2 linked regions of the Pelodiscus sinensis genome follow. The protein of the gene in region 2 interacts with the protein of the main gene of each other region in a biochemical or structural test. Links are inferred from orthologs where the notes say so. Each region holds a gene or a part of one and is shown on either strand. Other genes may lie near its edges.

Region 1 (16,697 bases), on a different chromosome or scaffold from region 2:
GCCCAGCTCCCACGGGCCCTACCTTGGGGATGGGAAGGGAGAGGTCACAGAAGACTTCAAAGGTGGTGGAGCGGTAGCCACAGGCCTGACACTTGAGGCAGCTTTTCAATTGGCCCACGAAGAGATCTGGGAGGGAGAAGGGACAGGTGAGCACAGGTGCCTCCCCGCCCGGTGCCCCCCGCTGGGTGCCCCCTGCCAGCTTGGCCCGGGACTGACAGGAGCCAAGCGGATGTGCGGCTCCTCCCCTCGCACCAAAGCGGCTCTAAGCCCCAGTACCACCCTCTCCAGGGGCCCAGACTCAGAGCCCCAGCACATGTGCGAGGGGAGGGGACTTTGAGCTCCACAAGGGGCTAGAGGGAGACAGCCCGGGCAGAGTCTGCCTGTCCCAGTCCCGGCTCTCCCTGGCGCAGCCCCCAGCCATGAGTCCAGAGGGACTGGGTAGGGGGCAGGAAGGCAGAGGCAACAGAGTCTTCCTAGAAGTGGGGGGGCTCCACCTCTGGCCAAGACAGAAGCTGGAGACAGGCAAGCCCAGGCCCCTTCACTTGCCTGGGGTGGGAGGGCAAAGAGCAAGCTCTGGACCTCCAGGGCCTCCTCCCAGGCCAGGGCAACCGTCCACAGCTCCCCACAACTGCTTGCATGGCTCTTGCCCTGACCTGGCTCTGGTTTCCAGCCTGGCCCGAGCCGGGGCCTTGGGGCCTTAAGCGCTGCCCAGGCAGCTGTGGAGAGCCATGGGCCCTCCATCTACCCTGAGCAGCGGTCCCAGAGGTGGGGGACACGTGGGTTGAGGGCTGCTCACGGGTCCCCCCTCCTGGAAGGTGGAGGGTCTGTGGCTCCCTATAGCTGCATGGGCTCCCCCAGCGGGGCTCCAGGTTTTGACCCCACTGCGGGGGTCAGAGTGGACCTCAGTGGGAAGTAGCCGGGCTCATGGCCCTTTGGGCCCCCCGTCCATCAGAGCCCCCCGCCCCGGGGCCAGAGAGATGCTCACCTACTATTTTGCTGTCTTCTCTCTCCAGGTAGCGCTTCCACATCAGATTGGCTCGCTCGTCATCACTAGGGAAAACCCAGGGGGGGTTGCTGAGGGAGATTCCCCAAGGGCAGCTCCCTCCACACACCAGCCAGAGGCAGCAGGAGGTGGGGCTGTGCACGGGGCTCCTGTCCTGCTGTTGGGCTGAGACTCCCCAAGCTCCTAGGAAGGCAGCCCCTGGACCAAGAGCAGGCTCAGCACTCTCGGTGGGTCAGTCTCCTCCCCACCTGCTGGCTTGCCCCTGGCAGCAGCTCCCTGTCCCCCAGGCAACAATGCGCTGCTGGGAACCCCGAACCACAGGGAGCTGCCTGCCAACCTGCTCAGTGCTGCTCCTGTCCCCGGGACGGAGCCAAGGTCACCAGCTTCTCAGCCCCAGCCAGGACACTGGCCTGGTCCCTGCCCCCATCAACTCCCCAGCCCCGGCCATGCAGCAACAGAGTCCCTGCCGGGGGCCGTCCTGCAGCTTTCAGGCCTTCGGTGCAAGGACCAGCTCACAACGGGAACCACGTTTCTCTGCGTGCTCAGGCGCCGCAGCCCCGACCAGCTTGGCCTGCTCACCTCAGGGGGTCCGCGTCCTCTAGCACTGAGGGCCATTTGGTATCAGAGAGGATGCTGGGAGTTTTGCGCCCCTTCCTGTTGATCTCCACGTGCAGCCGGTCCATTAAAAACTTCAGGAATTCCTGGGCGTCCTGCTGGCTAGAGACAGGAACGGCCTGTCAGAGCCCTGCCCCACCCCGTCCTTCCAGAGCTTCCACCCTGGGTCTGCCCCCAGCTTCTTCCGCACACCGGCTCCCCTTCTCTCCAGCCCTGCCCCCCAGCTTCCTCCGCACACCGGCTCCCCTTCTCCAGCCCTGCCCCCCAGCTTCCTCCGCACACCGGCTCCCCTTCTCCAGCCCTGCCCCCCAGCTTCCTCCACACACCGGCTCCTCTTCTCCAGCCCTGCCCCCCAGCTTCCTCCACACACTGGCTCCCCTCTTCTTGCAACCATCCAGGGCCCTCCACATGTTGGGTCCCCTTCCCCAGCTCTCCAGCAGCCTCTACATACTGAGTCCCCTCCCCAGCTCTATCCCCCAGGACTCTCCACATCCAGGGTCCTCAGCCCCACCCTTGCTCCCAGCACTAATCACATGCAGGGTCCCCTCCCCTGACCCCCCAGCCCTCCACACTCAGGATTCATCAGCAGAGGAGCTTTCCCAGCACTGCTGCTGTCCCCCCTGCCTGACTCAGCCCATCATCCTGCCAGGGCGGAGAAGCGGAGCTCTGGCAGGCTGCTGTGGGAAGGGGCTGTCAGGCAGGACTCTGAGGAGGTCCAGGCTACTCTGCACAGGCCTGAGATCACAGGGATCCTATGCCCTGGCTGAACTGGTTCCTCCAGGTGCTCATTATGCTGGCTGCTACCATCTGGCCCAAAGGCAGCTACATTCCCCTGGTGCTCTGGGACAGCCCCCCCGCTCCATGGCCGTGGGAGAAGGGATCCAGGGTCCACAGGACAGAACCTCTCACCTGTAGCCTGTGAAGGACGGGACGTATTTCTGAAAGACGGCTTTGAAGCGTGCGGGGTTCACAGCCTCGGTGGAATCTGGGTGCCACAGAGAATTGATGACATCTGCAAAGGCTGAGGGGAAACAAGCCACCAGCCCATGTTACCCTGCCTGCCCTGCCCCACAGCCAGCTTGCTCACCCCACCTGGCATGGCAGCCATGAGGTGGGGGAGCGGGATTTCCTGCTTTTGGGGGAGAGGCTGATCTCCAACTAGACCCTGCTGGAGCAGTCCTGGGGCGGGGGGGGGGGGGGGGGGGGGGAGGGAAACGAAAACAACCCCAGACCTACAAAATATTGCTTCCCCCATGCAGCAGACCCGGGGACAGGGAGGGGTGGAAGAACAGCTTGATGGGGGTCAAAGGGAGCACGGGACAGTGGGTGGAGCACAGCCTGGATCCTATTCCTGACTCTGCCACTAACACCTCTGCTCCCTGCTTAGTGCCAGCTCCCCAGCCTTGCCCTGCGGTGCCCAGAGCGACAGGAGCACACCCGGCACTGCAGAGCCTGGCCATGGGCCCATCCTCCATCTCCCCTGCTGGGCACAGTGTCAACAGCGCCATGGCAGGGAATTCAGCCCTGCTGCTTATGTAACGGGCTTTCCAGCTGGCCTCACTTCGGCAGGGCACTTACATAACCTGGTGACTGAGGCAGGGATTAGCTCCCGCTGCAGCAAGCCAGCTTTGGGGAGCAGCCACGAGGTGCCCGGCTGCCTCACCTACCTTCCGTGAGCTCCTGCGGGGCCCGCGAGGTGCCAGGCTGTTCCTGGAGGAACTCCTTGAGCAGGCAGTAGTCACGCAGGGGTTTGGTGCTGCTCAGGCACTGGAGCACGGCATTCATGAAGCACTGCAGGGACACAGGCAGGCAGTGAGGGCAGGCCCCATGTTCTGGGCGCCGGCTCCCCCAGCCCCTGCACTGCTGAGCACAGCCAGCCCAGGAGGGGCAGTCGTTCCTACTGGACATGAGCCGTGGAGAGCAGGGAGCCCAGAGTGCAGACACGTGCCAAAGTCTGTCAGTTCACCCTGCCCAGATCTGCTCCAAGTAGTCCCAGCCAAATCCGGCCACCCTGACAGCCGAAAGAGGGTGCTCCTGAAGCCACCTGTCCCTCACCACTGTGCAGAGACCAGGCTGGCAGCAGATGTAGGAGGGACACCGAGGGGTCCCAAAGAAGGGGGCCACCACAGTGAAGCAGACTGATGCTGATGATGGGGGGGTAGGATCTCCAGTCATTAACCCCCCGCACCAGGAAGATAGAGTCTTTGGCCAAATACAGCTGATCAACCACCCCCCTAGCTAGACTAAAGCTACTGCCACTCACTGCACCAGGGCCTCTCGGAGCCCCTCCGACAACACAGGCAGCACTCGACTCAGTCAAACCCCTGCCACCTGGGCTACAGGAGAATCACCATCAGCAGTACAGGGCCTCTGACACACAACAGTTGTCCTGATTCCATACAGCAGAGGGCAGAAGTGACATTCAGTGTGCTAGACACAGCAGGGTTTGGGCAGACACCCAGAAAGCCCCCAGAGCAGCCCAAGCCTTCCACTGCTGGGACTGCAGGGAGCAGAGTAGGGCGCAAGGGGAGCTACAGCTGGGTGGGAAAGGTAAGCCAGTTCCACCCCCAGCACAACTGCTGGCTTCTCCATGCAACATAGGCACAGCCCTTGGCTTGGCCTCAACAGACCGGCCTAGCACGCTGCTGACAGCGACAGGCACAGCCCTGCATCCTCGCACCCAGCATGTCTGCACGGCAGGGGGAAGCTGCTGTGCCCCAGTCCCACAAGCAGGCAGGCAGGCGCTGGTCAGAGGTGGCAGCAGGGGGAGCAAGGCGCCCGGTTAGCAGCGCTTCAAAGGAGCTCACTGCTTCAGGTAAGGGCCAGGCCCGGGAACACAGAGGAAGAGGCAACTGGGGAGGTTACAGGGACCAGGGTGACAGACTCATATGAGAAACAGCAGCACTCAGGGATCTCAGAGCGCCCTGGCAGGGCACGGTCTCCCCCACATGGCACATCTATGACACAGAAACCAGGCAGCCCAGGTCTCCGTACCCTGGCAAGTGCAAAATGGATATGAAACACCACAGTGCCACACTCTGCCCTGGTGTGACCAGTGCCACGAGGGCTGCACGGGGAGCATGGGACCCAAACTGGGCACAGCAGAGGGGGGTGCAGCGCTGGGAGCAGCCCCACCTCCCTACTGGGCTGTAGGGAAGACGAGCCACCTAGAGTCTTCCCAACTCCAGCAGGTCTGCACGTCCCTTTCCCAGGCAGCAAGTGCTATTTGTGACTAGCAAATGCAGGTTTGAAAGCCTTGCACAGTCGACATCCCGCCCCCTCCCCCAACCCTCCTCCCCTGCGTGCGGGGGGGGTCCTACTGTCCATGGCTCCCCAGCACTGAAAGCCAGGGGCTTACCGTGTTGCCAAGATTGCGGAGTCCGATGTGCCCAGAGCCCAGGAGGAGGGTGTTGTGTGTCTGAGAGACGAGAGAGAGAGGTGGGATGAGTGCCTGGGAAAGGGATTGAGAAGTAGCCAATTCAAGCAGGAGCAGGTCCGTGCCGTGATACTGTAAATAGGTCGATCTCTGCCTCGTGTCTCCCCAGGAGGACGGCCACGCACATGGCCAGCCTAGCCCATTCCCTCCATACACACCGAGCCAACCCCCTGCAGCACGGCCATCTCGTGGCCCCCAGAGACTGGGGGTGTCCTGCTGCTTGTGGCCAGCAGCAGGAAGAACATGGCACGTTACCTCGCTGGTCATCAGCAGCAGCCCCATCACCGCCGTGTGCACGACCGACTCCGAGATATCCGCCCCCTTGCCCTGCAGCTCCCGTTTGGTGGCCAACGTGCGGTGCAGCTTTCGCGGCAGCTCCACCAGGGTGGCTCCCTGCAGGCCTGGCATGGCTCCTGCCACACGGAGGAGCGGGCAGCCGGAGCGCTGTGCTTGCCCTGCACCAACTGAAGGGACCACTGGGCCCTCCCTCTGCCTCTATAAACCATCAGCTCATTAGCTGATCCGATTCCCCCGGCTATTCCGGGCCCTGCTTGAGGCTCATCTCTGTGGGATTAATTAGCAAGGAGAACTACTCCGGAGACAGCAGGTGCTTGAAGAACCGTAGACCAGAGAAAGAAAATACAACCCAACAGTCATCGACCCTGCCGCAGGTACTGCGAGAGGGCTGGGGTGGGGAAGAAACCAGCTGCCCCAGGCCAACCTGCCTCAGGGCTGCCATAGTTCACTGGATTGCTAGGTGGGTGCACGCCAAGCTCTCGCTAGCCCTGCGTGGGGCAGCAGGCCATGCCTAGCGCTCAGCCCCACACCTGTGCTCACACAGATTAGGTAAGATTTCCTAGAGGGAACCGATTAGCAGTTACACTATCAGCTGGTGCTGGGTGAACACACCTGGGAGGTTCTTTTGCTAGGAAAGTTGAGGAGCTGCAGGCAGGGACTGAGGGAAAGTTCTGGGTCAGGACATGGGGGGATCTCAAAGTTTGGAGATCAAAATTTAGGCATTTGGACAGTTTGGGCCATTTTCATTACCTGGGGCAAAGCCTTGATACCAGGCCTGTTGTAGGGGACGGTCTGTGGTTTTGCCTCTCACTCACTGTCCCTCCCCCACCCGAGTGAGCAATCCACGAGTCTCAGCATCTGTTAACTTCACATGCAATCCCACCAGAGACTGACTCCACAAGCTGGCTCTCTGCGCTGCGCCCCCCCCCCCAGCGGATCAGTGGAACTCCCAGCTAAGGAGCAATGGAAGCCGTTCCTGGAGCAGCCAAAGTTGCTGCTGCAGGACAAGTCAGGGGCTTGGGGGCTGCTTGCTGACTTGCATGTTGTGCCCCCACTCAGTGGGCCCAAAGACCCTCCCCCCAGACATCCCGCAGGCCCAATTAGGACATTTTGATGCCACCCACTCCCCGCAGGTTTGCATGTGTATGGTAGCGGGCAGGAGGCTGCTGGGGGAAGCAGGGTGATTGTAGCCAGACAAGGGACTCAAAACAAAATAAAACAAAAAACAAAACAAAAATCACTCCACCTCCAAGCCCCAGCTGCAAATCTCGCTGAGGCACGTCACCCTCCCACTACCCCAGTGAACCTGGCCATTCTGCCTCATGGCATGGCTTTCTACTTGCCTGCTCCCAGGATCTCACCCACAGGTGCTGGGTTCTCATGGGAATGAGGAGGCTGGGGACAGCTTGGGGCAAACCAGAGAGCACTAAGCCTAGACTCCCACTGGCAAGTCAGGGCGGGGGCAAGGTGGGAGAAAGCCTCCCCCTCTTGAGGAAGCCTGAGACTGCAGCCCCCAAACATCAGGCCAGGCACTGTACCCTGCAGAGCCAGGTGGTGTCAGCAGTAACAGGGCCCATCCACCCCCATACAGGGAGGACTGCTACCCATCATGCTCAGTAGATGTCAAACCACTCTTACAACAGAAGCCTTCTCCTCAGGCCTGCTCGGAGCTGGAGACGGGACCTTGCCCTTGGGTGGGCTCCCAGCCACTGGCACATCCAGGGGGCGCACATACTCGGGGGCCTGAGGATTGGAGGTGTGAGTCCTGGAGCAGCCCTCAGTGCGGACAGAGAGCAACGTGGTCGCAGGCCTCCCATCCAGCGCAGGAGACACGTTGACCCTCCTGAGCGAAGTGCTCCGCTTCAGAGCCAAGTGCCCCAGGCCCAGCTTCTGGCTGCAGGATGGGCTGCGGTCCTGGAGCGTCAGGCGGCTGAGCACCGCGCTCGCCTCCTCCCCTCGTCCCCCTGCCTGGCTCAGGTCCCCAATGCTGATGGACTTGGAGCGGGCAAGGTTGCTCAGCCTACGCTCAGTGTCCCGTCCCACCAGTAACAAGGAGAAGGAGGCACTGCCTGACATGGTGCTAGCCTGTGGGGAGCTAGGCACCTTAACCGCATGGTCGGCCTTCACTGGCCCTCGCCTGGGCACCGAGCCACGCAGCATGTCACTGCGCTTCGAAGCGCGGCCCCTCTCGAGCTCCTGCTTCTTCCCCCGATCGTCCAGAGGGATGGGCCGGGGAGGCAGTGGGCGAATCTTGGGAGCCATGGAAAGCCCATTGGCCAGGGCAGGGGAGGCGGAGGCGTGGCGCTCCTGGCTCACGGCCCGGTGTCCATTCAGGAGCTTGGTGGTGGCCTTGGGCTGTGATGTGATGATCTGCTCTCTAGTCCGGCTGACCCGGTGTTCAGAGGCCTGGGGCATTGTAGAGACAATGGCAAGGAGAACTCTGGGGAGACAGAGGAGTCAACGCAGTGAGTCAAAGCCAAAGGCATGCTAACAGAGCACGGCTATCAGAGGCAAGACCCCAGACTGCCAGGCCCAGCTTGAGGAGGGCAGTGCAGTCTTGTGGGTTCAGCAAGGGAATGGGAGACCAGGCTCCAGGACAGCGGCACCAACTCTGTGTCACGCGAGTGAATTCTCTCTAACTCAAAGTTGACTAACTGCATTATAGGAAGCAGCAACCATCCTCTGCAGCAGCAGGTGCTGGTCACAGCTGAAGCATGGATGCTGGGCTGCATGGACCGGTGCTCAGAGGCAGCACAACTGGACGTACCTCTCACAAGCTGCGAGCGTCTCTTCCCCACCAGCACCAAGCTCACACCCCTCGGCGGTGGCTGTCCAGGTGGAGATTCCCATTGGCTGGGGCCCTAGAACACAAGATAGGATGATGCAGGCACAGGCTCCCATGGTAGTTTCATCCAGGACATCTGGCCACCAGAATCTCTGCAAAATCTTGAGAGGTGGCTGGGCCCAGAGTGGCTCAAACCAGTCCGTGTGCCCAGGGAAAGGGAGGAAGGGTCTCCAGTGAGACAGGCCCCATATGACTCCACCCACCAGAGTAGGATAGTGCACAGCTGGGCAGGAATGGCAGGGTATCCTCAGGAGGGTGAAGAGGGAAAGCCAGGCAGAGGCTCTCCCTATCCTGCAATACACCACCACCTCACACAGCAGAGAAAGAAGTGGCCGGGACTACCTGGAGGCAGCATCATGCCATCTACCCTCCTTTCTGCTCTGCTTCGAGGACAGTCACCCGAGACAGCCTTTCACTCCCCTTTCAGCAAGTTTTTAAGGCAGAGAGTTAACGGGCTCTGGTGCCTTCCAGCCAAGGATCCCAAGCTCCAGGCAGGTGTAACAAAGGATATGTTAACACTGCAGTTGAACCCCCTCCCCCCTCGGCTAGCCTGTGCCAACCGACTCAGGCTAAGGTGCTGCTGAACTGCAATGTGGAAGTGTAACTGTTTACATGGTTAACCAATGAGCTTGGGCATATCGATTAACATGCACGGTTACACACAGGGTGCGCGCACATGCGCACACACACCTTCCCCTCCCCCTGCTCCATGTAACCACGGACATTTTCAGTGGCTACCTGATTACATAATTAAACACATTTTAACATACCTAGTTCAGGCTCAGGCTGGAGCCCTGCCTGTAGAACCCTGCCAGAGCTGAGACTGCAGCCCAAGCCCAAATGTCAACACCACAGTTACGGAGCTCCGTTGCCCAAGCCCGGTGAGCTTGTATGAGCTGGCACAGACCTGCCATGCACATCTAATTGCACTGTTGACATACCCTCCGAGGCCTGGCCCTCTAACAGCAGCTTGGTCGTCTATGCAGAAGGAGCCATTGATCCTACTGCAGTTACTGAGCAGAGCCTACACTGCCAGGGGGCTCAGTGGGTGCCTTGTGACAGTCTGAAAGGCCAAGGCTGAGTAGGCCCTTTTGACCAGACTTCTCTCCCTGCAGAGGTCTCTCCATTGTCAAACCCCCACAGGCTGCTCCAAACTGCACCATCTCACTCAGCTGAGGTGAGGGATCTGGGTGAGGCTCTTGTTTGTTCCTGAACTACAGAGATAATTAGGGTGAATCACTGAACTGCTAGTCAGGAGGTGGGTTGCCAGTTACTCCCACCAGCCGCCTTTGGCATGGGCTGGGCTTTGCTAATGCAGAGCTCAGAAAGTGCTTATATGTGGGAAAGAAACTTACTGATTCTCTTCTCAACACCTCCTAGAGGAGGAGCACTGGCCCAGACCCGGCATTCAGCAGAGAACACTGAAGAAGGCACTGACCCCACACAATGAAGCCAGCCAACACTTTATATACAGAATCAAAGAGCTCTGGAAGCCTTAATTAAGGTCCAATGGCACAATCCCGTACACTGTCATTAACTGGCTAGTGTGTACACATGATGCTGCCATCTTCTGGATAGAATCAGACTGACTCAGCTGTGTGTCATAAGCCCTATCCTGCTAAAAGCAGATGGAGATTCCCTTTTAACTCAAAAGTGTCACAATAGCAAATTCCCACAGTACCCAGTGAACAGAGCATGATCAGTTTGCTACCCGCTTTAGGAAAGTAGCACAGGCCTGCTACTGCTAAATGTCCTCAAAACAAAGGATGGAATATTCCAGACCAGGCCTAGACAGCAGATGGCAGGTCAATCTCAATTCACAAGGCACTTCCCTTGCAAGTGGGTTGGAGCAGTGCCCAGATTCTGCCCATCTGAACATGGCACTGGCCTAGTTATCAGGGGCCCAAGGACTACCCAAAAACTACAAAATGGGGAAGGCTGCATTTGCCTTCCATCTCCTATGCTGAGGGGCAGCCCACAGAGACTACAGATCCCAGCATGCACTGTTCCCTCTCAATTCAAGCCACCATGCTACAAGGCACACTGGGACCAGTAGTCTCTTCAGGCCACATCTCCCTGGGTAGCACCAGACAGCAAAGACTTTTCATCTCCTAGGCCTCGTTCAGGGCTATATATTGCCCCCCCCCCCCATGTACACATCACTCAAAGTGAATTTATTTTCAAAATATCCCCACCAGCCATACTCCTCTCCCTTCCCTTCCGCCCCCCCCCATCCTACATACACCCCTTGCTGCTGACCCACTTGCCCTTGCCTGAAGAGAGAACCACCCAGATACAACTCATCTGATGGAGTAGGTTTTACCCACAAAAGCTCATGATATAATATAGTTGTTACTGTCTAAGGTTCCCCAGGACTGCTCACTGTTTTCCACATACTGGCAGGGTAGTGTCTTAGTGCCAAGCCCAGTCTTCCCTCCACGGGTGGCCCGTCCATATAGGCGAACTAGGGCACCAAGTTAAATGAGGCGCCAAATGGTGGCGCAATATCATTGAGGGGTTTGGAGGTGGGGGCGCCGATTGCATGGTTTGCCTAGGGCACCAGCTGCTGGCGGCTAGTCTAGGGCCGCCCCTGCTTCCCTCCACCCCCCACACCACACCTACTTTGGTGACCTCCAGCTCCCTAGAGAACCCCTATAGCCCAGCCCCGATACACCATGCCCTAACCCTACGTACCAGCATCTATCATCTACAGCTCCCTGTGTAGAGAGCAGCCACCCCATATATCGCCCCCATATACGCACTGCAATTCCTATATAGAGGCCGCAAGCCCGCTAGAGAAATTCCCTATATACTGCCCCCCATATACACATTATCACCATAGGCAGGCCCCAAACCCCTATAACCCCCCCATGCCCCCCCTCATGCCCCCACTGCTCCCCCCACCGCCTAGAGTGACCCCCACTGCTCCCCTATCTGCAGCCCCCACCGCCTAGAGAGTGACCCCCACTGCACCCCGAGCTGCAGCCCTCCATAGGGCAACCCCCCCCCCAAACCCATCCCTACAGCCCGAGGAACCCCCGACCCCACATACCATGGAGGGTGCCCACCCCCTCCGAGGCCCTGGGGGTGGGTTTGGCCCTACCTCCTGCAGGACGCCATAGCAACAACTCCCGCACCAGACGCCGCCATGTTTGTTTCTGTCCCCGCTGCCCGGGCGGCGAGCGGCTTCAGTCGGCTCGTTGCGCATGCGCCGCCATCCCCGGGTGTCAGCGTCTAGGGCCAGGCCGCCCGTGCGTCCGCGTCCAGCTCTCAGTGACACAGCCCCGTCGCCATGGAGACAGAGCGGCGTCCTCCTTGCCTCTTAAAGCGACAGTAGCGCCCTCGTTGAAAGTTATTGCAGAGTCGCCAAGGCTTCGGCTGCGGCAGTGCTTGTGACCCGATGATCGTCACAAGGCCCTCCCCGGCCTGAGACATGCGAGGGGGCCCTGTGCTGGGGTACGGGACATACCATGTCCCCTGGGAATACCTGTGCTGGGGGGTACGGAACATACCACGTACCGATGGGCCCCCTGTGCTGAGGGGTATGGGACATACCATATACCCATGGACCCCCTGTATTGAGGTGTATGGGACATACCATATACCCATGGACCCCCTGTGCTGAGGGGTATGGGACATACCATATACCCATGGACCCCCTGTATTGAGGTGTATGGGACATACCATATACCCATGGACCCCCTGTGCTGAGGGGTATGGGACATACCACATACCCATGGACCCCCTGTGCTGAGGGGTATGGGACATACCATATACCCATGGACCCCCTGTGCTGAGGGGTATGGGACATACCATATACCCATGGTCCCCCCTGTGCTGAGGGGTATGGGACATACCATATACCCATGGACCCCCTGTATTGAGGTGTATGGGACATACCATATACCCATGGACCCCCTGTATTGAGGTGTATGGGACATACCATATACCCATGGACCCCCTGTGCTGAGGGGTATGGGACATACCACATACCCATGGACCCCCTGTGCTGAGGGGTATGGAACATACCACATACCCATGGACCCCCTGTGCTGAGGGGTATGGGACATACCATATACCCATGGACCCCCTGTGCTGAGGGGTATGGGACATACCATATACCCATGGACCCCCTGTGCTGAGGGGTATGGGACATACCATATACCCATGGACCCCCTGTGCTGAGGGGTATGGAACATACCATATACCCATGGACCCCCTGTGCTGAGGGGTATGGGACATACCACATACCCATGGTCCCCCCTGTGCTGAGGGGTATGGGACATACCATATACCCATGAACCCCCTGTTCTGAGGGGTATGGAACATACCACATACCCATGGACCCCCTGTGCTGAGGGGTATGGAACATACCATATACCCATGGACCCCCTGTGCTGAGGGGTATGGGACATACCACATACCCATGGTCCCCCCTGTGCTGAGGGGTATGGGACATACCACATACCCATGGTCCCCCCTGTGCTGAGGGGTATGGGACATACCATATACCCATGGACCCCCTGTGCTGAGGGGTATGGAACATACCATATAGCCATGGACTCCCTGTGGTGGGGGGTTTGGGACATAGCACATACCCTGGGGGCTCCTGTGCTGGGGGGTACGGGACATACCATGTCCGCTGGGGACCCCTGTGCTGGGGGACGGGACACACCACATCTATGCTACAGGGTGCAGAGACGCGGCGCTAGAAGTGCAAGTAAAAGGGGCAAGACCCAAGCGTGGCCAAGCTGCCGGTTAAGGACACGTCCTTTGGTGAACCTGCGAGCACACGGGCATGCGCCGCTCCCCACCCTGCTGCAGGGGTCCCAGGATATGGCGTGGAAACACTACGCTAGCCCCGGGCGAAGTGCATTGGAGCAGGGCAGGGTTGGTGCTGGTGGCAGAGGACGGTACTTTGCAGAGTTACGCCTTCTTTCATTGAAAGGTCCCATCCGCACTTGGCCAATTCAGCCTGTTATCTAGGATTACTCTTAGATGTTTGGCTGATGCTGAGTGCTCACATAGCAACTGCCCAAGTGACACCCTCCGCCATCTCTGCTTGGGAGGAGACTCCGACTCACCCTGGCAGATAATGACCTAACCTACATTATTAATGCCCATGTCACCTCTCAGTTGGATGGCAGCCATGCAATAGACATGGGCGCGAAGGCTTTGGCCCTGAGAATACTCCAGCTGGTACAGAACGATGCACTGAAACAACATAGCAAGAGTTGGGGATGGATTCACCGTCACTGGCCATTTTAAAACCCAGATTGGACTGTTATTTAAAACTCTTTGGGGAAGTCCCTGGTAGGGATGTAACAGTGTAGTCGATTAACCGATTAATCAATAAGCACAAGCTTATACGTTAATGCTATAGACTACACGCATTTCCCTCCCCCACTCTTGCCAATAAATTTTTAGCAGGCTGGCCAGCAGCCTGGCTCAGTTCTGGCTCCTGCTGGGTCCAGAACCTACCCCAGCTATAGCTCTGCATTTAAAGTGTATTAGGAGCCAGGTGGGCAGGCTGCCTGGCTCAATTCTGGCTCACATCGGGTCCAGGAGCTTAGAACCTCCCCCCACTTAGACAGGGGCTGCTGCTACCCCATTCTGCTGCCTCTTTATCAGAGGCAGCAGCACTGGGCGACAGGCAGCAGGTCCAGAAGGGAAGCTGGTTTTTAAACTGGCTCCCCTCATAGACCAGCTCCTGCCTGGCACCCTGCACTGCTGCCTCTGATACAATGGCTGCCAGCCCCGCTCCTGGGAACTATAAAATAGTTGACTAACAGATAAAAATTCATGAGGCAACTTGATTATTAAATTAACCAATATTTAACATCCCTAGTCCTCAGGCCCAGGAGTGCCCTGAGGCTGGCTGTGGCAACTAGCGCCCCAGGTGGAAGGCGTGATTGGCGCCCCCACCTGCACGGCCATCAATGGCCTTGATGTCATTATCAGGCGCCCAGGCCGGCGACGCCCTAGGCAACCGCTGAGTCTGCCTAGGCTCATGGGCCGCCCCTGTTCAGGCCTGTGTTATCCAGAACAGACTGGATGATCACAGTGGTCTCTTCTGGCCTTGTAATCTATGAATCCATAAAACCAGGCCTGTATGTTACAGTGGAAAACTGCTGCATGATGATTCCTGACAAAGCTGAAAATACCTTCTTCAAGGAACTTTTCTTAGGAATTTGGCTTCATTAAATAAACTGATAATCTGCTCTTCTCTTTCCCATGTTAGCTTGCAGCAACTGAGAACCTGTTTGTGTATTTTCAATGTGTTTGGGTGAGTAACAAAGCTACGCAATAAAACACTAGCTGGTTTAAATGTATTTATGCTTCAAGTGGCTTATCTGTATAATAGGATCCATGTTCAGGGAAGTTCTCTGGCCTGCATTCTGCAGGAGGTCAGAGATTATCACAATGGTCCCTTCTGGCCTTAAACTAAGAATCTCAGTTACTTTCAATACCTGTCTAGCTATTTAGGGAAGGGAGACGCACGGGGTACAGCAATTACTCAACTTTTCCAGACTACTGTACCTGATTCAGCAATCTGATTGGTCTTGCGTACCCTCAAGTTTCACCTCACTTAAAAACTATTTACTTACAAAATCAGACTTAACAATATAAAAGTGTCACTGCCACTGAACATTTGTGAACTTTCTCTTTTTTTTTTACCATATAATCAAATCAATTGGAATATAAATATTGTACCTACATTTCAATGGTTACGTCTACACTGGCATGATTTTCCAGAAATGCTTTTAACGGAAAAGGTTTTCCGTTAAAAGTATTTCCGGAAAAGCGCGTCTAGATTGGCGGGACGCTTTTCCGGAGAAGCACTTTTTCCGGAAAAGCATCCGTGGCCAATCTAGACACGCTTTTCCGCAAAAAAGCCCCTATTGTCATTTTCGCGATCGGGGCTTTTTTGTGGAAAACACTACTGTGCTGTCTACACTGGCCCTTTTCTGGAATAGGTTTCCGGAAAAAGACTTTTGCCCGAACGGGAGCAGCATAGTATTTCCGGAAAAGCACTGATGATTTTACATTAGATTGTCAGTGCTTTTCCGGAAATTCAAGCGGCCAGTGTAGACAGCTGGCAAGTTTTTCCGGAAAAGCGGCTGATTTTCCAGAATAACTTGCCAGTGTAGACACAGCCAATGTGTAGTATAGAGCGGTACAAACAAGTCATTGCATGCAATTATAGTTTCTACTGATTTCACTCATGGTTTTTATGTTGCCAGTTGTAAAACTAGGCAAATATCTAGATGAGCTGATGTACTCCCTGGAAGACCTCTGCGTATCCCTGGTTAAGAACCACTGGAGTACAGGGTGGGGTGAATGTTTCTTTTATGGCTTTAAAAGTAAAATAACTACTGTCCTGAAAACCTGGACATTTTCCCAATTCCCTCCCCCTTAAGGATGGGATGAGCACCTGCATACACTGATTTACTCTGAACCAATAATTAACAGCTATCCCATTTGCATGACTTGTAACTGTAACAACGTAGTCGTATTACAAGCGCTTTCTCCGTTCATGAGTATAAGGGGTTTAATCAGACTATAGAAAAGCATATAAGCATTGACAATACACGTGCTTTCTTTTTGGCTTTAAAATCATTGATCTGATGTAGGTATGTGAATGGTTAAAACTGGTTAACCTTAACAGGTGATTCTTACCAGTTTTGGTTAACCGATGGGCAGGGGCAGATGAGAGTGCCGCGGGGCCCAGGGCAGCACCGCGGGGACCTTGGCAGTGAAATTTTGCGGGGCCCCTCCTTTGACACGGAGCATGCGCCGTGGCGCCATGGCGCATGCGCGGGGCCTCGGGAAGCGCGGGGCCCGGGGCAGCTGCCCCGCTCGCCCTGCCCTAAATCTGCCGCTGCCGATGGGAGCTGGAGCAGTTCCCTGGCCGTCACAGGCAGGCGGCTGCTCCACTCCTGCAGGGCCCACCGTGGGTCAAGGGCACTCCAGCCTGGCTGGAGCAGCCCGTTTGTGTCATGCTGGCCCTGACCCTTGTTTACCCCCCTCTTTAACTGGTTAAACAACTAAACAGGATTTTACATCCCTAGTCTGATGTGAGAAAACCCACATCCTCCAGGCAATAGAGTGCAACCAGTACAGCTATCCTGGCGCAACCCCAGCATGGACACAGAACAGGATAAAGCTGCTGTCTCCTGCTATAACTTATGCCCATACTCAGTGCTACGCAGACATCTGTAAATTATGTGGGACCAGCCCTCAGTGGGAGGAATCAGGCAAGCTGTTAGAATTCTCTATGAGGCTGTGTCTAAACTACATCCCTTTTCTTGAAAAAGGGCTGTAAATTAGACACTTTGAAATTGCAAATGAAGCCGAGATTTAAATTTCCCGTGCTTCATTTGCATAATGACAGCCGCGTTTTTTTCAAAGCAGTGCTTTTGAAAGAAAAATGGCTGTTTAGACAGGGATCAATCAAAAATAAAACCCTTTTGTGAACGATCCCTGTACTCATTTTTTCA
Region 2 (16,145 bases):
CCATCTAGACTGGCGCTTTTCTCCGGCAAAACCCCGAGCTGGAAAAAAGCGGCAGCCATGTTCATGCAAATGCTGCGGGGGATATTTAAATCCCCCGCAGCATTTGCAATTCCGACTGGTCTCATTAGCATACCTTTTCCGGAAAAGGGTGCCAATGTAGACACAGCCTAAGGGTATGTCTATGCTGCAGGCTTCTTGCACAAGAAGGGTACGTCTAGACTACCAGGCATAGGAAAATGAAGCGGCGATTTAAATAATCACCACTTCATTTAAATTTACATGGCTGCTGCGCTGAGCCGATCAGCTCTTTATCAGCTCAGCGCGGTAGTCTGGGCGCGCGGGGGTCGACATCAAAGGCATTTGTCGACCTCCCAGGTATGCCTCATCCCATACCTGGGAGGTCGACAAATGCCTTTGATGTCAACCCCCGTGCGTCCAGACTACTGCGCTGAGCCGACAAACAGCTGATAGGCTCAGTGCGGCAGCCATGTAAATTTAAATGAGGCGGCGATTATTTAAATCGCCGCTTCATTTTCCTATGCCTGGTAGTCTAATCTACATGCCTGTCGCCAGAGGCATGTAGTCTAGACGTACCCGAACAGTTGTTCTTGCGCAAAAAATTGCGGAGCATCTACACTGCATGTGTGTTCTTGCGCAAGTAAATTTACAGTAAACCTCAGAAGAGAGGGTTTCTTGTGCAAGAGTTATTCCTCTTCCCACGAGGAATAAGCCCTCTTGTGCAAAAGCTCTTGTGGAAGAAGGCAGTGTGGACAGGAACAGGGATTTCCTGTGCAAGAAACTCCTATGGCTAAAATGTCCATCAGAGATTTCTTGCACAAGAGAGCATCCACACTGTCATGGACACTCTTGCGCAAAAGCACATAGCAGTCTGGACGCATTCTTGAGCAAAAACTTTTGCACAAGAAGTCTTTTGCACAAACTGTTCTTGCGCAAGAAGCCTACAGTGTAGATGTAGCCTCAGTGGATGTTGTCAGAACTGCCCACAATGAATTAAAAAATGCTTGAGTGATAACAGCTAATTTGGTCCCCATCATGCATTACTTTTCATTTATCGGCATTAAAATTCATGTGTCTTGTTGCCCAGTCAACTAGTTTTGAGATCCTTTTGAAGCTTTTCAAAGTCTGCTTTGGACTCAGCTATCTTGAGCAGTTTTGCATCACCTGGTAATTTTTGCCACCTCATGGCTTACCCCTTTCTCCAAATCACTTATGAATAGATTGAACAGGACTGGCTCCAGTTCAAAGCCCAGATGGATACCACCTATGTTCCCTCTAATTTTTTCCATCCATGTCTGAAATAAAGAGTTATATGCTGTGAAACATGTGTGGATATGCACTACCAGTAGAAACATGTTGCTGACTGTGGACATTGTGGTGGGTGGCATTTGAATCTCTCCTGGGTGGCTCTCCACACACTCATCTTACAGTGAACACTGGGGACTACTCATTTGTTCCTACCCTTTATTATCTTTTAACCAGTTACCAATCCATGAGAGGACTTTCCCTTTTATCCCACGACAACTTACTTTGCTTAAAAGCCTTTGGTGAGAGACCTTGTCAAAGGCTTTCTGGGAATACAAGTACACTGTACCCACTGGATTCCCCCTTGTCCTCAAGCTTGTGGACCTCCTCAAAGAATTCTAGTAGATTAGTGAGGCACAATTTCCTTTTACAAAAACCATGTTAACTTACCCCCATAAATTATGTTTAGAATTTTCAAGACATAGATATTCTTTACTATAGTTTAAACCACATTCTTGGTACTGATGTTAGACTTACTGCTCTGTAATTGTCAGGATCGCTTCTAGAGCACTTGTAAAAAATCCGTGTCATATTAGGTATTTTTCAGTTATTTTGGTACAGAAGATGCTTTAAGGGATAGGTTACAAACCAGTGAGTAGTTCTGCAGTTTCACACTTGACTTTTCAGAACTCTTGGGTAAATGCCATCTGGTCCTGATGACTTGATACTGTTTAGTTTATCACTTTGTTTCATTCCAAAACTACCTCTTCTAATACCTCAGTTTTGTCACCTAAAAAAAGGCTCAGGTTTGGGAATCTGCCCAATGTCCTCCGTCATGTAAATCAAAGAATATTTAGTTGCTCTGCAATGACTTTGTCCTTAAGTGCTCCTTTAGCATTTTGATCATCCAGTGGCCCTACTGGCTGTTTAGCAGGCTTTCTACTTCAGATATAAAAAAAATTGCTATTACTTAGGGTTTTTTGGCTAGCTGTCTTTAAAATTCTTTTTGGACTGATATTTGTACATTTCATTTGACAGCATTTATGCTTTTTATCTGCTCACTAGGAATTAATTTCCACTTTTTAAAACATGCCTTTAATCTTTCACTTGACTGTTAAGCCATAGTGGCACTTTTGGTAAGTCTCTATTCTGGGGGGTCTTTGAAAAATTTCCATAGAGTTTACTGTAAACTCACTTTCAGCAGTGTACCTTTTAAATTTCTGCTTAACCTCATTTTTATATAGTTCTCCTTTCTGAAAATAAATGCTATAGTGTTGGGCTGCTCTGTTTTTCCCACCACAGGGATGTTTAATTTTATTACATTATGTTCACTATTTCCAAGTGATCCAGCTACAGTCACCTCTTCAGCCAGATCTGGTGCTCCACTTAGGACAAACAAGAATTGTCTCTCCTGTTGTGGGTTTCCAGAAACAGCTGCTCCAAAAAACAGTCATTTAAGGTGTCAAATTTCTCTCTGGATCCTAGCCCAAGGTGATGTGTACAGAGTCAATATGGGGATAGCTGAAATCTCCCATTTATTTTGATAGTGACTGAAATATAAGTGAGATGAGAGACTATCACCATCCTGGTCAGGTGATCATTAATATATGCCTACTGCTGCACTCATTACTAGAGCATGGAATTACTATCCAGAGATTCTATGGAACAGTTTGGTTAAGTTAAATTTTTACTTCATGAATGTACACTTTTTTACATAGTGCCACTTCAGCATGACTTGTTCCTGTCCCTTTGTCTTTGGAACTAAGCAACTGCATGTTTATAGTAGCTTGTGAAAACTGTTTCATGCTCTATTGACTTATTCAGGTATCTCCACCACTATAATTAAACCCCATGATGCAAGCCACAAATGAATACTACACCATAAATGTGCATGCATGAATCACCTTTTTATTGGTGCAATAATGAGTTTTGTAATAGGGCACATGTTTAAAGAAATGTACTTAAATAACCTGTGCTGAAAACAAAATAACAGGATGTGTTGTCACTAGAATACATGGGTAAGTTTTGAGGATCAAGATTTAGAAATTGTTCAGTTATTTTACCGCAACACCACACTTACATCAAGCTAGGTCCCTGCAAAACATTGCTAAACATGTAAACTTTGACAAGCTTTTAAAGTGCTGTTCACCATGAGATGTGTATTTCTTCATGCAATATAAAATTTTGTAAAAGGCCACATGATTAAAGTACGTAAGCTTCTTTCCTCCCTTCCTTGGGAAAAAGAATTGAGTGCTGGTGAAAAGTGCCAAACTGGCAGCCTGGAAGATGAAGTCCTATATTTAATCAGATAACGAATCCTGCACTAGTCAGCTTCAAAATGATACTAGTGTGCTCAACTTTTAAAGCAAGGAATCCCCCTCTTGGGCTAGGAAGTTCAGGCTGCAGGGCCCATTCAAATCCCTGACCTCTGCTAAAACATTCGCCATGGAAATTAGTATTAATGACATTTTGGGGGCATGTTAAGGACATCAATCCACATCGGCTCATAATTTGGATCATTATGGACGCAATCTTTATTGCCAAATGCCAATTACCTGAACTTCAGTTCCACTCTGTCTTGAACAATTAATTTTAGGAAATGTCCACACTTAGTATTTTGGAGCTAAAGTAGTAATGCTTCAGTGCAAGTCAATTAAGAGGCATTGAAAAAGTCACAGGTTGATTCCCTGAGCTAAGGAAATCACTCATGACATTTTCATGTCTGTTCAGTAAAAAGGGCTAACAGATGTGCTAGCTTCATTTTATCTGATTGCTATTAGCAAGTTTACAAGGTCTCACAGGGGAGGGACCCAGAAGTTATTTTTCCAATTTATTTTAAATTCATCTCCCCAGAGAATTTAGACTTTCTGCTTTGGGGAAGATGACTGACCCGTTCCATCTCCAACTTAAATCTGCTCTTTGAAATATTAAAATGTTGAATTTTAACAAAGCTAATTGTTACACTAAAAGTATCTCAAGTATTACAGCAGTTCAGTTGTGATTTGACCATGGTATCTATTTTAGGGATTCATGGCAGACAGTTTGGACTATTACAATGTTTGCAGAGACATCAAATCTTATTGTGCAGATTTCAGAGCACAAAACTAAAGGATTTCGTAGTACAGAAGTTATGTTCCCCAAATAAGTTTGCAAACATGGCACAGAATAATAGTACTTTATATTTATGTAGCACCTTTCATCAAAGCACTTTACAAACTATCAAACAGTCTCAATACCTCTGTGAGGTGTAGTAATTTGTCTAGTGTATATCACCATTCACTGACAAAATTGAGAATATAGAATCTGATAGTCCCTTGGTCTAGTCACAAATCAGCTTCATCTCAACTATTTAGAATACAGTATTTAAAGGCATATGAAATACACTCCCATTACAATAGCTTTAAGTATCTGCTTCTAGTCTAGCATTAAAAACAAGTGTAAAAGCTAAGTGGGCTTAACAATGACAGCTCACTTGATTTCTATAATAAACATGAGCAGTGTCACTTAATACTGAATAAAATAATTCTGGTCCATTATATTCTTGTGGATATTATTTATGTACTGCTTTCTTTAGGTCTTAAGACAGCAAAATATCTATGCACATATAACTAAAATCACATTTCTAGTTCCACGGAGAACCATAGAATTATGCCCGTAGTTAGAGATTCATGAGGGCCCCAATTCAGGAAATTACTTAAGCAGGAGGCTTTTCTTGATCAGGGCTGGGGATGCATCTTTGTTCCCCCCTTGCTCAACTGTCCAGAAGGGGTCTCAAACTGTAAGCAAAGTAACAAAACAAGGCTAAAAATTTAAATGCCTCAACATGTGTGTCTTAAGGCATTTACTCTAAAAGAAAGTTGTTTGTGTACAGCCACAACATCTTTCAGATGATCTCAAAGCACTTGATATTAAGCTCACAATCAATCCCCCATAAAGCGATACTTCTTTAGTATAACAGGTTTCAACATCCCTGTTTCACTTCGAGAGCATTTTACCTAGCTTATTTTGTTGTGAAAAACTGCTCTATTCTTTATTAAAATAGAGAACTTGCTATTTAATCACTGGGGAGAAATCGAGCAAGTTAAATGATATCTGGCACAATACAAAGAAACTTCAAGTTTTTCCCTTTTGGATAAATGCTCTGATTTTCTGAAAAGAACAAGTCTTTGACCTATAAAAGAATGAGAACCATAGATTAAAAAGTGCCAACATAATACTTGGAGCCTGGTACAGCTTAACACTTCCCATGCCCACAAGATCAGCCACATTTAAGCAAAACTAGATTTAATGTTTAATCAATACAATCTAGTTGTAATCTGAACTACTGTAATTCCTTCTTGCTGTAACAGATATTAGTATGGGTCAAAGTATTTCAAGAAACTACATCCTGATGTAGTGTAAACTGAGGGATTAACAGTTAACTTTCAAGCAACTAAACTACATTTCAAATAGTGCTTATGGGGAAATATTAAGTCTATTGGCCATTTAACTGTCTACTCCATTTTAAGAAGGCTTTCTCTCAATTTACTATCAGACTGCGTATTCTTTCTTTCGTTATGACACAATATAGAGCAGCTTTGTTACCAATTCTATAGGAAGTGTTCACTGTAGGTGTCTACTGAAAACATTGCTTAATTGCATAAAAGTTATGTAATTCTTACTCTAAATGCCAAACTAACACCATTTTAGAAGTCCTGAAAGATTCTAACTCAATCCCATAATTCAGAGTTTAGATTTCAGTGTTATTCTGCAAGTCTTTATGTAACTCTAGGTACAGTATTAAGTGTATGTCCAGCCATGTGTCTCAGCAGCTTCTCCATCAGAAAATAAGGTTCTTCAGGAATCAGGACTTTTAGCTGTTGACATACAACAAAAACAGCTGCCACTTACTTTAAAATCTGCATGCAATCCAGCATGCAATAAGTTACCTATTTCAAACTAGTTGGGAAGAGAGCATCACTACCGTATACCTATCTGTAAACCTGCACACTAACCATAACAAACCTGTGTGTCTCAATAATTAAGTTAATAGGGCTTTTCAAGCTTTGTGAAGGGAGCTTTTTATGCTTACATACAGCTTATCTGAAAACCCAGAATCTTATTCTGGATCAGTGAGGTAGTGATGTAACCATCCTCAAGCAGATGTCACACTTCTCCAAAATTCGTGTGCCCAGTCTCCTTTGCGTGTTCTCTGGCTTCCACTTGTCCAGTTAATCCCTTCTGGCACACCATGCATCTCAGCGTAAAGCGGTTTACATCAGTAAACTGCCTTTTTCGTCTGGCTTCATCTGCTAATTCCAATGCTTGTGCAAGAACAATATCATCATTTGTTGAGAAAATGGTCAGGGGAGGGACGTCTGAGTCCGGGATTTTACGTTCAAGGGGATCATAATGAATCCCATCATAAATCAGAAGGACCCGCTTAGCATAGCCAGCATCTTCCCCAAAACGATCAATTCGGACTGTCTGTGTATCCACTACACAGATTTCACACTGATAAAACTTAGACAAAATGGACACTTCAATGGCTCCTCCCCATGTATCTTCTCTTCTGATCCATTCACAGTACTCTTGATTGGTTTTCCCTAGTACTGCCTCACAATAGGACTCCGGATCACTTGCCACTATCTGAGCTATAAGACTGCGCATCTCTGGAGCACATGCTGGATCATAAATGCCCCCCTCTACCACATAGAATATGCTTGTGAAGAGACAAGAGTTATCTGCTGGAACAACCCTCCTTCCAAGTACAGGCACTGCCCCCCTGACAAAATTAGGGACACTCCTTTTTGCAACTACAGGTGACTCAGTCTTGGGTTTGGTTGTGTCCTCTTCAACTATTAGAGTATCACCTGTCAAAAATAAAAAGAGACATGAGATAAAATCCAGCATTGAATCACCATAATGCATTGCAAACAAAGGAAAAACTGCACAGTGAAGCAAATCTTTGTCCCAGTGTACCATGCCTCGGTTCTCTGATAAGATTAGATAAGCACAATAGAAAGCATTACCCATTTGATAAATTACATAAGCCACAGCAAGATGTAGAAAATAACAGTAGCTTTGGGACCTCACTGTATATGGCTGGTAGAGAGACACAAGCTTTGTGCTGAAATCTCTAAATTGGCAAAACAAGTAATATTTTCAAGTTTGTCTAAATCTGGGCCACAAGAGGAGTGATATTTAGAGATGTTTATATTTACAAGCTGCTAGATAAGTTTAAGTCACTGACAACACTATTTTGCAATCCTTTAATAAAAAGGGTGGTAAGTGAAGCATCCCAAATGAGTTTCAGTTAAGCTAATTATAATCTGCTTGAAAGGCAGGCTCAATTAAGTCTGGTATTCTGTTGCTCATCCTGTCTTGAGCAGTAAGATGTAGAATAATATTGTTTGTGTGCGCATGTATGAAATAATAATAGAATATTGTGTTTTTAAGCTCCTGCTGCCTTTTACTCCAGCAAGAGCTAGATCTTTTGCAATCTGTTCTTTTACAGTTGACTCATGCTCACAAGGCTACAGTATCTGGGGAGAGAATGAAATAAGCTAGAGAAAGGACATGCTTGCTAAGCCATCCATTTCAGTGAGCCCTGAGCATCACTTCTAGGGACAACTTCAACTTACACTTGCCCTCTCAGATCATATTCTGGAAGAAAATTGGCATGACCATATATACCAGACGAATACAATGAAAAAAGTGAACACGTTATTAACACCGTTTAATAATGTGTTCACTTTTTTCATTGTATTCCTCTGGTATATATGGATATGCCCAGGGCTTGACAAATCAGTGAATCTACTTGCCCATGGCAAGTCCACTTCAGCCGGTCACCCCGTTCACCGGTGACACGGGCATGCGCAATGTGGGTCTGGCAAATAGATTTTTCCGCTGTTTGTCAAGCCCTGGTCATGCCAATTTTCTTCCAGAATATGATCTGAAGAAGCAGGTCTGGCCCACAAAAGCTCATCACCTATTACACCATCTTGTTAGTCTCTAAAGTGCTACACAGTATTTCCTTTTGTTTTTGCAAAATCAGACTTAACGGGGCTACCTCTCTATTGGTACTCTTACCCCCAACAGTCTGAAGAAGTGGGCTGTGCCCACGATACCATCTACCTGTGTGTGTCTATAAACAGTGCTTGTTTTTTTCCCTGTACTGACTAAGTCGGCTCGCCCCTGAAGTCTCTACCACGTCCGTTGGAGAATGACGAAGCGTGAAGCAGACAGGGAAGGTTCTGCTCGCTCTCTGGACCTGGAGCCCAGATTCCTACCCCTCGGGCCAGCTGTGCCCGGCGGGGCACCCCACAGCCTCGCTGGAGCGAAGAGCGCGGCCTGGGGACGAGGGGGGGGGCCGGAGCCAGTGTGACCCCCCCCCTCACTCCACCGCTGGGTTCCGCCTCCAGGGGCAGAGACGCTGCCACTGACCCCCCGCCCCAGCGTGAGGCAGCCAGGACCGCCCCGCCCCCCAGGAAGGGGGGGCTCCCCGCGCGCCTCACCTGAGTGGATGCCGAGCTCCCCCAGCCGCCGCTCCGCGTCGCTCAGGTCGAGGCTGCGCGGGGGGAAGCCGAGCAGGAGGCGCTGGGCCGGGGCGGGGACCCCGGTCAGGGCGGCCAGGGCGGCCTGCAGCTCCCGCAGGCGGGAATGCGCCGTGAGGCCGGGCAGCGGGTGGGAGCCGCTCCGGGCCTTGCAGCGCAGCCGCAGCATCCTCCGCCGGCCCGGGCCTGCCCGGCCTGTGCTGCTGCCCGGGCAAAATGGCCGGCCGGGCCGGCGGCCGCTGCCAGGGCTGCCCCGACAAGTCTCGCGACAACGGGCGCCGCGGCCGGCTATTGGCTGCGCGCGCCGGGACCGGCCCCTCCTCCCCGGCGGAGGGGGCATGTTTCCCTCGCGCGCCGGCGGCGCGGCCAATCCGCGGCTTGGGGTGGAGACGCCCGTGGTGGCGTCACACGCGCACGAGGGGAGTCTCACAGTCGGGGTGGGAGGGGGGAGAAGAGACGTCATTTTGCCTTCCCGCGGTCAAGGTGGAATAGGAGCGGGTGGGGGCGGAGTTCTGTTATAAACTCATTTGCATATTTGCACATTATTTGCATACTAGAAATTCCTGTTCTTTCGCTCGTTCGGAAAAAAAAATGGAGTGAGCTTTTCTACAGTTTATTTATCCATGGGCACATTTGCATCTCATTTACATACCTGGCCTATGGGCGCGCTGACGTGTCCAGGCTTCTTTGAATTGCGCGTGTTCATTTGCATAGCATGGCCCCTCCTGCCTGGTTCCGCGGGTCTCCACCCCCCCCCCCCTTTTCCCAGCGAAGCGGCGTCTTAGTCACGCGAGCGCTCTATTAGCATATCATTTGCATCTCGTTCCTTGCCCCGCCCTCTTCCCTGTCGGCCAGCAGGTGCGGGACGAACCTTCCCAGGGCGGCGCGGGGGAGCCTTGCTGCAGTGCGGGGCCCGCCAGCCTCGGTGCGTCCATGCCCTTGCCCTTGGGGGAGGCTCCCGGCCGGTGCCCGAGGCTCGCAGAGCTTGACAGGGGCAGCAGCAGGCTGGCTTCCCGCCCCTTCCTGGTACGGCTCGCGCTGAAGGCTCGGGGTTTGGTGCCTCAGTTTCCCTGCGCTGCCAGCGGGTCTGTCTGGGGGGCTCTGCAGGTCCGTGCCTGAGGAATGGCTGAAATCCTGGAGCGGGGCTTGTGAGTGCTGGGACCCGCCCCCTGGCTCAGAGGATGCTGTCAAACCATCTGAGCCATAATCCCTGCTGGTCAGCTGGGGGGGCTGCTTGGCCATCTCCAAAAAGTGCCCCCGCAGCTGCGGAACCGCTTCGGGAGTCTGGGGAAAGGCTGTTTCTTTACATTTGTGGTGATTCGCACTCAAGGGTAAATACAGGTACATTCCCCTTATTCCTTGGCTGAGATGATTCATTAATGTTCTAGGTGAAGGCGGCATTGTTTTCCTCCTGTGCTTCGTTTTGCTATGGTTTGTGTTCTCTTGTGCCAACTACATATGTTACCACCTGAGGGTGACCTTGGACTACAGCTTTGAGACTTGCATGGCTTCCTTTCCTTGCCACCAGGAACAGCACAGATAAGTTGCTATGCATCTTATTCCGCTCTGTCTACCGGATTTCATAAGGATTTATGTTTGGTTCTTCTTTTCTTTTCCAAGAGCCTGAAGGTCCATTACTGACTAAGTGTGTTGATTAGCAGCAATGTCACAATATACAGCATCAGTCCCAGAGCAAAACAACAACAACCAGGAAAACAAAACTTCAAATCTCCGAGTCTCAGAAAAAAAGTGTTGTGAGTATTTGTGACAGTCTAGGGAAATAGATCCTGTGTCTTGCAATTAATTTCTCTTTTACCTGTTTATAAAAAGAAGTAGTCAATCAGTCACGCTTTATTCCTTCTACCCCGGGGCATAGTAAAGGCGAAGTGGCTTTCCTTATGCCTCTTCCCAAAAATGCTTCAGCTCTGATCTGAAGGGCTGTTCATTTTCTGTCCCCCATTCATTTCTAGGCCTTTTTTGCTGAGTCTGCCAGCAAGGGGAAGAACTGTGATGTGTTTTTATGATATGTACTTGGACCTGAGATCCCCAGAAATTTAATGTATTTAATGTAGGCTCCAAAAATAGTACTAGACAAGTTTATAACTGTGTACAATTCTTGTTTGTATCACTTTTATCCAGTTATATTTGTTGAACATTTTGCTCTTCTGGACAAATGTTGACCCTTCAAGTTAATAACGTTTTTTAATTCAGCTCTTTTTAGAAGGAAATCTGTTCAATGTGGATCTGAGTTTAAATGTAACGTCTGTTCCTGAAAGCTACCCACGTGTATTAGGCAAGAACTAGCACAACTGTACTCAATAGGGATTTAAGGTGGCTCACCTTGCCTATTTCCATCTAATGTGCTTCATCAGGTAGTGATCTGGGCATGTTACATCTGTGACAAGTTGAGCTGATTCCATCTAACAACCTCCATTGAACTCTTATAACCTAGGCTTAGTCTTCGGTTGTGAAAGGCCAGGTTTAAGCAAAGAATCACAAAGTTCAGTAGGAAAGGACGCGCACACGCACACTGATATGATTTAGAGCTGCATAATCACCAGCGGTCTGCTTCGATTTTTACTGCTTTCCAAGTATCTCTCTTTACTCTTATTGAATATCTTTATTAAGGATTACTTTTTCCCAATACGTGCTAGTTGCCCTTATCCATATTACATTCATTTTGTTATTTCCTGCTTATGTCTCTAACCCATAATTCAGTGTCTTTACTGATTTTTCAGAACTTCCCAATCTAAAGATACGTCTACACTACAAAGTTGTGTTAGAAAAATGGCCGTTTTTCTAACACAACTTGAGGACTGTCCACACTGCAATTGTGTTCTTCTGCAAGAAAATCTAAAGAACCAGGGGGTTTTCTGGCATTGGTAATCCTCATTCTACAAGGAAAAAGCCTTTTTCCGAAAGAGCTCTTTCACAAAAAGGCATGTGTGGACAGTGAAGAGCAAGTTCTTTCGAAAGAAGAGGAAAAAGGGAAAAGCACAGGTGCCTTGGTGGCCATTCCATCCATAGCAATCACAGCTTACATGCAAGACAGCTTCCATTCAGTGTGGATGCTCTCTTTCGAAAAAGCAGATGGCTTTTTCAATGCACTTTTGCAGTGTGGCCGCTCTCTTTGTGAAGAAGTTTTTTCGGAAGATCTCTTCCAAAAAAAGCTTCTTCTAAAAGAAGCCTGTAGTCTAGATGTAGCCTAAGTCACTTTGGGAATTTACATTTAACATCTTGTTTGTCTCTTCCTCCAGTTCCTTTATAAAGCTATTTCAAGGAACATCGTCCATGCAAAGGTTATGTTTGTGTCTGACAATGTTTTACCTGTTTTAAGTAATCCTTAAAATGACTATGACTGGAAAAGACCATGGGGAAAAACATTTTTTTTTCCATTTGTTTACTTTGCACTTATGACAGCAAGGAATACAGATGGCTTCCCCAGAGTCAGTTTCTTTGTTACTATGCACGAAAATCCACACAAACAAGTGAGAGAATTTAGAGTATTAATAATAGACAAATATGGCTATAAAACTATAAAAAAAATTGGCATTGAAGCTTGGGGGCAAAAGTAGTGCACAGATATATATATATACCTTTAACAGAATCTTTGAAACTGACAAGATTTACAACAGACAAAATCCCATCAGCATTGCAGTTAGATTTGAATTGTGTCTTGTGTGGCAAAACCGTCTCATCAGGCCATTTAGATACAGGAAAGTCCTATTCTTTCCATTTTGTCTTCTATTTAGTTTATATTCATTTGCTTTGACCAGTTTAATTATGGCAGCACATGCTCCCATATCCCTGTCTATAATCAGTCTCTTTCGTAGAGTTCTATAAAACTGAAAGTTTTACTCAGTGGATTCATTAATTAATTCATCTGTTGCTTTTGGAGAATTATCAGAATTTTTAAATAGATACTAGAAATTTTATGCAAAATCAGTACTGGTCAAAAATCCTGCTTCTTAGCAACAGATTAAACATTATCAACTTTGTTTCTCAGATCATTTGTTCATTATGATATGGAAAGAAATTAGCTTCCCGTCTATTATCAATAAAGAATTTTTCCTCTGTCCTTGATAGCTATTGCTTAATTGGTACATACTTTCAACTCTGACTGACGTATTTTGGCTGACATATTAGTCACACGTTATTTTCCCTGTTCACGGTGGCTGATCAGTTGTTAACCTACTTCATTAGCTAATACCTGAGAGAGCAAAGCTGTGGTACAGTGGTTGCTATAACATTTAATTGGAAAGAAGGGCATGATAATGAATCCACTGTATGAAACACACAGCAAGTAATCTTTTGTATGGCTAATAAAACTCACTGTAATGGGCAGACACAGTGAGTTAGCCAGAGATTAATTTGGTGTCTGACTTCGTGTTTGCGTTGAGCTGTTTTAATTAATGTAATGATTTTTGCCTCCTCGTCTTTGCAGCATGGGCTTCTTATATGACCAACTCCCCTACTTTGATTGTAATGATTGGCCTTCCTGCCCGGGGTAAGACTTATATGTCCAAGAAATTAACCCGCTACCTCAACTGGATTGGCGTGCCTACAAAAGGTCTGTGTGAATTTTTGTTCATGGTAGTGCAAAGTGATCGATGGGTCCCAGATCTGCAACATTTGTTTTAATCCAGCATAGGGATGTGAAAGGCTAACCGGTTAACCTGCTAACTAGTAAGCATCACCCACAATGGGTAATGCTTACTGGTTCTGGTTAACCGCAGAGGCCACCCCAGGGAGGGGGTTTCTCCACCCCCTGAGGCTCACGGCAGGCAGGGTCTGCTCCAGCTGGCCGGAGCACCCTCTGTCTGTGGTGAGCCCGTCCTGGCCTGGCACCCCCACCCCTGCTTATATGCTGGCTCCTAGAGAGCTGGCTGCAGAGCCTGCAGCAAAGTCTCCTCAGGGGCAAGGCTGACAGCTCTTGCTGGCTCTGCTCCCAGGGAAGTGGCTTCTCTGTGGCAGGGAAGCCTCCTTCCTGGGAGCAGAGCTGGCAGCATGTACAACCGCTGACATTTTCAGCGGTTACGCTATTACCTATTTTATAACCCACTTTTTACATCCCTAGTGCAGCCCAGGGGTATAAGCACTGAAACGTAACATGACTTGATAGCTACTATTTGGGGTGCTAACTGCAGTGTTGTCCCCTGTGAACAAGAGTCTGCATCATAAAGTCTTAACGGCAGTGCCAACAGAGAGCCCGAAGATTTAGTTATCCTTAGCAACTGAATTCCACTTGACCCCTTCAAGGTGGTTTCTCCAAGCAGATTGGCAAGGGTCAGTATGTTGGGGAGGCTTGCACTAGTACTCCTCAAGATCTATCCATTCGGTGCTTAGAGAGGGATTGCACATGAATAAACTTATAATCCCTGTGCAGAGGGCCAGCACAAAATCTGTGCGCCCTCAAAGTAGGTCTTAAGTGCTTCATAGTGAATTATTTTCAGCTTGGGTTGTGAGGCCGCCAGGGTAAGCCACTGGCCGACCGGTGCCACTTTGTATACTTAATGTGTCCATAGCCATGGAGCTTTGACGCTCCCATTGGCTGCCGTTTACCATTTCCAGCCAAGGGGAGCTGCGAGGCTTGGTAGCTGTGGACATATTAAGTAAACAAGGTGGCCCAGGCCCACTGGTGGCTTAACCTGGTGGCCCCGCGACCCAAGATTGAATAACACTATCCTAGACTCTTGTGCTGGCCCTTTGCATGAGGGTGAATTTCACTAAGGCAGAGACCTTTGGTTTCCAGGGCTGACAACTGGGTATCTTTCATGAGCACTAAACTTTTGTTTTGCAAAGTGCACGAGATCTTATCACATCTCTTCTGCTTATCTTGGATCTCTTCTCTTTTCAAAGCCTGAATGTCACGCTGCTTAATGGGGATAGGGATTGCCCATGACTATACTGATACCCAGGAGGATAGTTATAAAAAATGTGAATTAACTTAAGGAGGTCTGAAGAAAAGTACGCAAGGGAAAGAAGAGATTCTGTGGTGAAGATTAAGTTTTTCAGATTTCAATCATAGGGAATTCTTGTGGTGATTGCAAAAGTTATTTTGAAGTAAAATTGCTGGAAGATTTTAGTGGGAGGGATAGTTTATGAATTGGTGTATTAGTCAAGATAAGGATGTCATTCTCTTCTTGGCTCATGACAAGGTACCAGGTATTTGTGAGATGCTGCAAATCACACATCTTCATTTGTCTTTGTGAAGTGTTTAATTTAGGAGTATATCGTCGAGAAGCTGTGCAGTCGTACAAGTCCTATGATTTTTTCAGGCATGATAACAAAGAAGCCATGAAGATTCGGAAGTAAGTCTGTGTCACTGGGTGCAACTCAACATGAAATAGTAGAAAAAAAAGTTCATCTTATTCTAAGGCCTTTGCAACTGGTTTCAGACTATACCTGTGACTGTGGGACATAACATTTAATGTGTCTAGACAAATATGGAGGTAAATTCTGCTATCATTGCTTAGATTGAGAAGGACCTGACTACATCAATAGCTCCACTAATTTCAATGGAGACTACTCACAAAGTAAGATATTGCACTGTGGGTACATCTACACAGCGACACTATTTCATGATAACACTCCCGTTCTTAACAGCACTCGTTATTTCAAAATTCATTCAAAATAACAGGCTTCTTATTCCGGCTTCCTGTAAACGTCATTGCACAAGGAATAAGGAAGATGCCGAAATAGTGATTTATTTAGAAATTAGCGCTGTGTAGACAGCACCAAATTTTGAAATAAGCTATTTCGAAATAAGCTACATAATTTGTGTAGCTCAAATTGAGTAAATTATTTCAAGGTATGCGCTACTGTGTAGTTGTATCCTGTGTGAATAAAGATAGCTGAGTTGGGCCTTCAGTGAAAATTTTGTGGAGTGGATTAATAATTGGTTCAACCTGAGGAAATTCCAGATTATTTTACAAGTTTTAAAAACTGCTTTGGGAACATGTGACAGAATTTAATGTTGTGTCAACTAGTGCTCTTAAAAAAACGACAACATGGTTTTTATTACATCCTCATTTTTCCATCTCCATTCTCTGTCTGCATCACTCTGGAATGTAGGTCTGAACTCAGGTTATCTCTATGTCAGTCCAAAAGTCATGCCGTTCCAGGGTTCTGCTTTGACTTTGCATTTCTCCACAGGAATAACGAGAGATTTTTCTTACAGTTATTTGCACACAGCAGTGCATCAACACTATAGTATGAATTCAAGTTGACCAGCAGACTTGTTTCATAAAAGTCACACATCTGGGCAGGGAGGTCAAGTGAGGGGGCTCAGTTTTGAGTATTCAGTGCATGCCATTAAAATACCTGCTCTAGAAGCTGTGACTTCAG

What was found.
Region 1: the proteins of YOD1 (region 2) and USP21 form a complex in vitro, tested with the Homo sapiens proteins (2 studies listed by BioGRID, with this or other methods). The link is inferred for Pelodiscus sinensis from reciprocal best matches to the Homo sapiens genes YOD1 and USP21.

Annotation. Positions count from the first base shown.
Region 1 is NC_134734.1:13,509,825-13,526,521, reverse strand, and holds the start of USP21 (ubiquitin carboxyl-terminal hydrolase 21), read right to left. Parts: upstream 8,268-16,697; 5' UTR 8,253-8,267; coding exon 8,119-8,252; intron 7,792-8,118; coding exon 6,990-7,791; intron 5,037-6,989; coding exon 4,977-5,036; intron 3,410-4,976; coding exon 3,286-3,409; intron 2,640-3,285; coding exon 2,528-2,639; intron 1,721-2,527; coding exon 1,583-1,720; intron 1,051-1,582; coding exon 986-1,050; intron 127-985; coding exon 23-126; intron 1-22. UniProt on the Homo sapiens protein: Deubiquitinates histone H2A, a specific tag for epigenetic transcriptional repression, thereby acting as a coactivator.
Region 2 is NC_134737.1:5,462,435-5,478,579, reverse strand, and holds YOD1 (ubiquitin thioesterase OTU1), read right to left. Parts: upstream 9,131-16,145; 5' UTR 8,968-9,130; coding exon 8,760-8,967; intron 7,116-8,759; coding exon 6,409-7,115; 3' UTR 3,152-6,408; downstream 1-3,151. Other genes in the region: PFKFB2 (6-phosphofructo-2-kinase/fructose-2,6-bisphosphatase 2), read left to right, coding at 10,462-10,552, 13,243-13,368, 15,013-15,109. UniProt on the Homo sapiens protein: Hydrolase that can remove conjugated ubiquitin from proteins and participates in endoplasmic reticulum-associated degradation (ERAD) for misfolded lumenal proteins.